Canis lupus familiaris: one gene and its partner. The protein of the gene in region 1 binds, or shares a complex with, the protein of each later gene. Links are inferred from orthologs where the notes say so. Each region holds a gene or a part of one and is shown in the gene's direction. Other genes may lie near its edges. The genes, in order: BMP10 and ACVRL1.

The links.
Region 2: the proteins of BMP10 (region 1) and ACVRL1 are in contact, whole or in part, in a crystal structure (PDB 6SF1), measured with the Homo sapiens proteins. The link is inferred for Canis lupus familiaris from reciprocal best matches to the Homo sapiens genes BMP10 and ACVRL1. Residues at the interface, in NP_055297.1 of Homo sapiens: Tyr322, Asn357, Tyr358, Pro359, Ala361, Glu362, His363, Pro366, Thr367, Lys368, Ile371, Leu375, Leu378, Lys379, Ser381, Lys386; in NP_000011.2 of Homo sapiens: His40, Val54, Val56, Arg57, Glu58, Glu59, His66, Gly70, Asn71, Leu72, His73, Glu75, Leu76, Phe84, Val85, His87.

Annotation. Positions count from the first base shown.
Region 1 is NC_049231.1:69,022,298-69,026,652, reverse strand, and holds the start of BMP10 (bone morphogenetic protein 10), read left to right. Parts: upstream 1-1,481; 5' UTR 1,482-1,582; coding exon 1,583-1,916; intron 1,917-4,355. UniProt on the Homo sapiens protein: Required for maintaining the proliferative activity of embryonic cardiomyocytes by preventing premature activation of the negative cell cycle regulator CDKN1C/p57KIP and maintaining the required expression levels of cardiogenic factors such as MEF2C and NKX2-5.
Region 2 is NC_049248.1:43,566,897-43,571,169, forward strand, and holds the start of ACVRL1 (serine/threonine-protein kinase receptor R3), read left to right. Parts: upstream 1-1,297; 5' UTR 1,298-1,444; coding exon 1,445-1,496; intron 1,497-2,948; exon of another isoform or gene 2,949-3,343; coding exon 3,344-3,412; exon of another isoform or gene 3,413-3,938; coding exon 3,939-4,190; exon of another isoform or gene 4,191-4,273. UniProt on the Homo sapiens protein: Type I receptor for TGF-beta family ligands BMP9/GDF2 and BMP10 and important regulator of normal blood vessel development. On ligand binding, forms a receptor complex consisting of two type II and two type I transmembrane serine/threonine kinases.

The DNA of each region.
Region 1 (4,355 bases):
ACGTCGGAAACTGTGGCTCCGAGCTGAGGGCACTACAGGGTGCCGAGCCCTCGGGCCGCTTCTGAGCACCGGGCCGGGCACCTGCCACCTGCAAGAAGTGCCCTGGCAGGGTCGGGGGGTGTGAGCATCCCTGGCAGCAGCCGCAGCCCGCACTCACCTGCCCGCCCTCACCTGTCCACCTTCACCTGCCCGCGCTCACCTGTCCACCCTCACCTGCCCATGCTCACCTGCCCGCCCTCACCTGCCCGCCGTGCCCCACCGCCCGGGGTAGAAATCGAGATGGGCCTGATGGGTCTTTTGCTAAACCAGGTGCACAGCCGATTGTACCGCGGTTTCCTCAGACGAAGCCACCTGGCATTTTTCATCTGCCGGGGATGTTGTTTGCTCGACTTTTACTTGGAGCCACCGACAGCTTGGATGTGGCCCTGAAGGTGGATTTGGCAGGGACGTTGCCACCCTAGTAATTCACGGCTCTGGGATGCAGCGAGCTCCCCATGCAGTGCAGGTGGCTGCCTCCTGGCTGCATGCACAGGGGTGGGGGGGTGGGGTTTGGGGGTGAGGCGGGGACCCGGCCTTCCTGCCCCTCTGTCCTGGCTCCAGGCTTGGGGAGCGCCGGTTTCGAAGTCTGATTGTTCTTCCCTTTTCGCAGGAGTCGGAACGCCCAGGTTCAAATCCTGACTCTGTCGCCTTGTAGCTCGGTGGCCTCCGGCAAGTTATGGGATCTTAGTGACCCGTCCGTGCCGTGGGCATGATAACAGGGCTGTGAGGGGGCGCACACGTGGTGATGTACGTAAGGCACTCGGCACAATGCCTGTTTATAGGAAAGCACCTGATAGATTGTAGTTGCTATTATAATTAAACACTCACCCTATTTTTCAAAAGCCACTTAAGCCAGATCAAATCTGTTATGAAAAAGGCCCTCGACCACGAGGTTTATACTTCCTTGTTTCTAAAAATGTAAACTTCTAGAAATCTGTGTGAATTCATTTAGACTAACGCGGAGATGTGGGATACTCGGCCTTTCTTCAGAAACGTTGACGTGAAGCTGGAAGCCCCATCACTTGAACTAATCCGTGGTGCCGTTGACGTGGATCGCGCTGGTTCTCGGTATCTCTTCCATGCATGTGTGAAAGCAAACCACATAAAAGCAGAACTTAGGCATTCCTGCCAAAAGGAAGTGAATTGAAAGGAAGAGAAGCAGAGCTTCCACAAGGAGAAAATTGTCCTATCTCTTAGCCAGTGTCAGAATGTGGACATGTTTATAAAATGCTCATTAAAAGAAAAAAGGATCGCAAGATAGAAACAAAATCTGGTGCACAAGTTTACACTAGAGAGATAAGAAAGGCTAGGCCCCTATAGGGGATTTTGTTATCCAATTACGGCAACCTGACTTTTGGTGGGGCGGGCGGTGGGGGGGGGGAGTGTGGAGAGGAAGGGAGGTAGGGGGAGGGAGAGAGAGGGGAAGAGTTTCCAAACTTGTCTCCAGTGACACGAGACATTAACGCTCCATCAGATAAAACTGCCACTTAGAGCCCAGGAGAGCTAAATCTTCCTGGGCTGGCCTGGGGGCTCGAGCACAGTCATGGGTTCTCTGGCCCTGCAGCTGTGCGCGGTCTTCGGCCTGGTGGCTCACTCGGTTTCTGGCAGCCCCATCATGAGCCTGGAGCAGTCGCCTCTGGAAGAAGACATGCCCCTCTTTGACGATGTCTTCTCGGAGCAAGACAGTGTCGACTTCAACACGTTGCTGCAGACCATGAAGAATGAGTTTCTCAAGACGCTGAACTTATCCGACATCCCTCCCCAGGACTCAGCCAAGGTGGACCCACCGGAGTACATGCTGGAACTCTACAACAAATTTGCGACGGATCGGACCTCCATGCCCTCGGCCAACATCATTAGGAGTTTCAAGAACGAAGGTAAGTTTACCTGTTATTGATGGAATTGGGCTCGGAATTTTTTTTTTTCTTCCCCGAGAGCAGCGTTAAGTAAATTCACAATTTGTGGGAGTAATACAGCTAAGGGTGAGTGCATCTGTGTGGGGCTGTGCATACAAAGATGCTCTAAAACAACGCATCTTTTGTTTTTATACCGTTTTCATGGTCGTTTCCCAAATGTTTTATACCGTTTTCATGGTCGTTTCCCAAATGTTATTAAAAGGTACCCAAGAGGGCAGCCCGGGTGGCTCAGCGGTTTAGCGCTGCCTTCGGCCCAGGGCGTGATCCCGGAGTCCCAGGATCGAGTCCCACGTCGGGCTCCCTGCGTGGAGCCTGCTTCTCCCTCTGCCTGTGTCTCTGCCTCTCTCTCTGTGTCTCTCATAAATAAATAAATAAAATCTTTAAAAAAATTTTAAAAAGGTACCAAAGAATGTCTTTTAACCAAAAGCTGTAAAGCATCTACCATCCTGACCTCATAACCGGGCCTTTAAAATTTTTAAATTTGAACAGCAAGAAATGCAAAAAATTAGTGCTGCTGTACTACTCTACCTTTGTCCGGCATTTTCCAGGTTTGTCTTTTAATTGGCCGAAAGATTGTCAGCTTCTCCTTAGAGTGAAAATAGGTGAAAACTAAAAAGTCCAGACTTGTGCCTCACTCAAGCTTTGATTGTATTTCCATTTTCTGACCTTATTTAAGAAGTATTCAGACAGGATGAAAACTTCTATTTCAGAGGTTCTCCCTAAAGTTTTGTTGTGTTGTGTGACGTGGACATCCTTGAATCGCTGTTTATAATGTCCAGGAAGTTTGCACGGCCCAGTTAATGATGCCCCTTACTTCAGTCTTCATGAATAGCAATGTGCAAGCCTTAAATATCAGCAGGAAAACCAGGTTAGCCCCCCTCCGCCAGCTTTTATTCAGTGACTAAACGGCCTGATGTAGCAAGTTAATCCTTTATCTAATACGGTGCCAGTAGGCAAAAATACATTTTTTTTTCCCCTAGTGTGCGTGGTAAAAGATCTGGGTCCAAAGAAGTGAATTCTTTAATATTTACCATTGTCATTGACCACATACAAAAGAGGGTTTGGGTTGATGTTGATCAGCAGTTCCTAAAAGCAGAAAGGTGCTAGCAAAGAAATGGCTTAGGGTTTGGAATTTTGAGACAGGCTTGATTCAGCAGTTGTGGATATTTTAGCTTGGTTTCTCTGAACCTCAGTTTTCTCATCCGTGAGTTGGGGGTAATAAGCGCACGTAACACAGCTGAGCGATCTCCAAGAGGGTATGGGTAGGAAAGCACTGCATTTGCTGTGAACCGGGGACACACGTTAGATATTACTCAGGAATTCCCTCAGTTCTAGGCGTCGGAGGACATGTGCAGTGGGGATGGCTCAGTCTCGGAGACACCGTTTGCCTTGACAATTTAGATAACTGGCCCAATGGTAGATAGTCAGTGACGCGTTGGGGACGTTTCCTAATAACCTTTAGCCACGTAATGGAAATGGCAAGAGTGAGATTGCAGATTCCTCTTGGGGGTGAGCCTGCGCTGGAGAGGAGTGGCCTGCCTCCACAGGAGCCCTCCTGGCGTTTCTGAGCCCCGCGCCGGGGGCCCGGCTCAGGGTGCGGGTGGGACAACGTTCGCACGCCCTGAGACAACAGGAGTTTTTCAGGTTCCGCATCTCCGGGGGAGGGTTTCGTGCCCGAGGTCAGGCAGTGCAGTTTCCGGAGCGTCTTACTCCTGGAGAGCAGCGGAAGCAGGAGCGGATTCCGCCCTGGGCGGTGGCCCCGGTGGCTCTTACGGTCTCACTTTTGGCCCCTTTGGGTCTGCACAGTGCAGCTGCCTGGGAGACAAAGACCGGCCCCGCCCGGCCCCACCCCCAAAGCCAAACCAGAAAAAAAAAAAAACCTTCCCCAAATGTAACTAGTCAGGGGGAAACAAGTGCATTTCTAAGGTAGAAAAAGCACGAGTTGAATTCCTCCTACGGCTGCCCTCGCTTTGCCATCTTGGGGAAGTCGGTCCTCGGCACTGACCCCCATTTCTTCTGGTGTAAAAATGAACACGACGGAAATGAATGGTCATTGTAGGATCTAAATAAAACAGGGCTTGCAAAACACTGGCACGTTTAAATATGTTCAACTAACATCCGTTCCCCTGCCTAGAATGCGACACCTCCATCCAGTGCTTTGTTTTTTGTTTGTTTTTGAGGATTTTATTTATTTATTCATGAGAGACCCAGAGACAGAGAGAGGGAGAGACACAGGCGGAGATAGGAGAAAGCTCCATGCGGGGAGCCCGATGGGGACTCGATCCCAGGACCCCGGGGTCACGCCCTGACGTGAAGGCAGGTGCTGAACCGCTGAGCCACCCGGGCGCCCCTCTGTCTACTACTTTGTATACTTGCACGTGCCCAGTGAGCCTATTTTTT
Region 2 (4,273 bases), on another chromosome or scaffold:
AGATGATTTCTGTCTTCACATCCACACAAACCCGCATCGGGCACCCGGTGATGACAGCAGCTGTGTGCAATCTGTTACTGTCCACAAAACCCACTTGCTCTTTTTCCTCCTTTGAGGGACTCACTGAGCACCAAAGAGTTGGAGGAATAAGTATTCAAGTGAGGATTTATTACCAGCAATTTAAGTTGATCGGGACACATGTGGCGATTACAGGCAAGAAAATTAACATCCCGGGCCTCAGTTTCCCCCACTGGATTGTTGGAAGGATTAATGAGATTAACCATCAAGACTGAGTCCTTAGCACATAAGTAGTATTCAGAGAAGGTTAAATTCTTTTTCTTTTTAAATATTTAATTTATTTATTCATAAGAGATACAGAGAGAGAGAGGCAGAGACACAGGTGGGGGAGAAGCAGGCTCCATGCAGGGAGCTGGACGTGGGACTCAATCCCAGGACCCCAGGATCACGACCTGAGCCAAAGGCAGATGCTCAACCACTGAGCCCGCCAGGCGCCCCCAGAGAAGGTTAATTCTTATTATTAAAGATTTCACAGTAGTAAGTTAACATTTGAAATTCCGTTTGGCATTTGTGATTTCTGGCCAAGGACAGTGATGCTTCTTTTTTTTTCAAAGATTTTATTTATTATTTATGCATGATAGACATAGAGAGAGAGAGAGAGAGAGAGAGGCAGAGACACAGGCAGAGGGAGAAGCAGGCTCCATGCTGGGAGCCCGATGCGGGACTCGATCCCGGGACCCCAGGATCACACTCTGGGCCAAGGGCAGGCACTGAACCACTGAGCCACCCAGGGATCCTGGCAGTGAGGCTTCTGTCAGCAGGAGATCTTTCAGGAAGTTTTGCTTAGAAGTGAAGGGATGCCACCCAGGCCTCTGTGCTGGAGTCGGGTGTCTGGGCGAATCATTCAGGGACGCTCTGAGTTTGGACTAGTCAGGACTCAGCAGCCTCCTGTACTTGACTTTGTGCTGGGCCCGTTTAAAAGCTGGAGAGTCACAATTTTCCTCCCATTTTCCCAAGATTAGACCAGAGTCGGATTCTGCAAATCCTGTCTGGCCTCCCAGCGTGGTGGCCCAGTCTAGGGAAGCTTGAGAGCAAAGCCGTCACACCGGCCCCCCTGCAGGGTCTCCAGGTCCCTGGCTTCCAGGTTTAGCCCGTCTGTCCCTTCTCTGCCCACGGAGGTGGGGTGTTGGGGGGGGTGCAGAGGTGCCCAGGTAGGAGGGAGAGTCTCTGCCCTCTGCTCCCCTCACCCAACAGGTCCCTGCACATTTCACTGGACCAGACTTAGCACCGTGTAGGACACATTTCTCAAGCGGTGGGACCCTTGCAAACTGATGAGAATTACCTGGAGAACTTTTTAAAAGGCATGATTCTTGCTGGTCCCAGGTGGACTGAAATGAGAATTTGGAAGGAGGGGTGAGACCAAAGAATGTGCATGTTTAACCAAGTGCTTCAGGGGCTCCTGATGCATTATGAAGTAGGTAAGAGGGTACACTGGGGTACGGTCGGAGAGGTGGAAGCGTGGGTAGAGGATCTGAAAAGGATGCCCGCTTCCATCCTTACTGTTAGCCACCCTTTCCTTCCTGCCCCGTGCTTTCTCCTGGCTTCCACAGATGGCTTCCCGCCTACCCCCGGGGGCAAATCCGCCTTGCCTGGGGCTCCTTCCCCAGCCACCCGCCCCCCTGCTAAGTGTCTGCGGAGTACTCACCGCCTGCCTGCCGGGAGGGGCAAGAGGCAGGAGGTCAAGCAGAGGCTGGGGACACAGCTGCAGCAGCCCAGGGCTCCGTTTCCTCCCCCGGCCCTGGGCCTCTGGGGCAGAGGAAGCCCAGGCAGGAAGGCCAGAGCTGCCACCAGCCAGGGAGGCCCGTGAACGCCACCCCCCAACAACCATCCTGCCCTCAGAGCCGCAGCCCCGTGGATCTCCATTTGGTACCATTCTTAGACTGTGGGTCTGCTGCAGCGCCGGGGCCGCCAGCCAGCCCTCCTGGGCTCACGGTTAGGCCAGAAGACGCTCCCCCTCCCTCACGAGAGCCGCCCCTGCCTGGGGATCGGGGCCCAGGGACACACCTGCACGCTCCCCACCATTCAGAAAGTCCTTGCTGCAGCATCAGACCTTATCTTCTTGTTTGAAACCTTTGAGAAATGAAGAAGGATGTGGCTTCTGGAGCACTAGCCGGCTTGGGACCTGGGTTGGGGACTATCACAGATCAGAATTACTTCCCTAACACTCTCCGCCAAACTTCTGGAAAAGTTCAACCTTAGCCAGCCATGGAAGGTCAAACAGTGTTTAATTCTCTTTCAGTTCCCCTCCCGCATCCCCGGCCCTCCCCCAGCCCTTCCCAGGTCAGCAAGGAGGGAGAAGGAAGGGGGCCGGGAATGGCTGGCAGGGGGCCTCTTGCACTCTGCTGAGGCCTAGAGGGGTCTCCTCATGCCTGGCACGAGCCAGCGCTGTTCAGGGTTTGTATGGTCGTTACAACCTGAGGGCTCAGACCCAGTGCTCCCGGGATTGGGGGGCAGACTGGAGAAAGCCCTGGCCTGGCAGTCGGGACACCTGGGGCGTACTCCTGGTACTGCCACCGAATCCTGTCTGACCTCAGACGAGTCTCCTGCCCTGTCTAAGCCTTGATCTCCATCTTCTCTAGAATAAGGGGTTGGCCTTTGTGGTTCCCAAGGTGTCCCCCTAGAATTCTCTCATGGGGTGTCGCAGCCCCAGGTGGCTCCCCCAGAGCCTGCAGCGCCCCTGCCTGCCCTGAGAGTACACGCTGAGCTCTCTGCTGTGCGTGACTCCTGCCCGTTCTATCCGGACCCCGATCTAAACAATCTTGATTCCTGTTCCCAGCTTGGCGGGACCCTGAATGGCAGGAAGTGAAGACAGGAGCCTGTTTATGTTTGAGGCAGCCAGTGCTAGGGGTGGGGGGACTGGGGGAGGGGGCGCGGGGAGGGGGGTGGGCAAGAGCCGGAGGACACAGGGTGCGGGGGGACTGCTGAAGACAAGTGCCTTCCACCCCGGCCCGTGCCCTCTGTGTCCTCCAGTCTGAACCCAGGAGCAGGGGTAAATAGCTGGGAGTCCCCCAAGCTCTCTGTCACTCAAACATGGCTCCCCCACCCTTTACCCCTTACAGGATGGTTTCCATGGGGAAGTGAACCAGGACTTCCCCTGCAGGCCCCGCCCCAAAGCCAGACACAGGGAGTAGGGAGGAGGCCTCCCTGCCCCCCCCCCAAAACTCCCAGTGATTTCCTCTGGGTGGGAGGAACCCACAGTCGGTGGCTAAAAACACCAAGGGGAACACATTTCACGGATCTTACGGTAACCCCCTCTCCTCTCCAGGGACCATGACCTTGGACCTGCCCAGGAGAGGCCTTCTGATGCTACTGATGGCCTGGGGCCTGACCCAGGGTAAGTACTAGGGAAGCAGGTGGGGGACACGGACCTGGATGGAGGAAGGGCTGGCTGGGGTCAGCTCTTGCTGGGGCTGAATTTGAGGAGCTGGGGAGGTACTCAGGAGCTTGGCTGGAGAGTGGGAGGCAGGCTCAGCTGCCCCAGCCCTCAATGTTCTGATCTGAACCCACAGACTGGTGCCCTACTGGCCTCCAGGGTAGGAACCTGTATCTGGGGGGTGCAGAGAATGGGGATGTTGGCAGGGAGGGCCTAGGAGAGCCCTCAGGGTTGGGGCAGGGGCCAGGGCCGGGCCTAGAACCAGGAGGGAAGGTCCTCGGATCTGGGACAGGACGAAGCCTGGTTCTCATCATCGTATCAGAGGCTAAGGTTCTGGAAGGAAGGATCATCCGAGGCTGGGACTAAAGGCCCACGGCCTCAGGGGTATGTTTGAGAGGTCAGAGGGAAGGGCAATGGGTCAGACATCGGTGTTGGGCCCCGCCCAGGAGTTCGGCCCACAGCGCTGAGCTTCCAGTGTGTCTCCCAGGCAACCCGGTGAAGCCCTCTCGGGGCCCGCTGCTGACCTGCACGTGTGAGAGCCCACACTGCAGGGGGCCTACCTGCCAGGGGACCTGGTGCACGGTGGTGCTGGTGCGGGAGGAGGGCCGACACCCCCAGGAGCATCGGGGCTGCGGGAACCTGAACGAGGAGCTGTGCCGGGGGCGCCCCACCGAGTTCGTGAACCACTACTGCTGCTACAGCCCCCTCTGCAACCACAACGTGTCCCTGGTGCTGGAGGGTACGTGCAAGTCCCCGCAGGCCCTCCCCATCTTCTCAGACCCTTCCTCCCTGCCCTGCTTCCACCTTGTGCTCTGGCCTGGA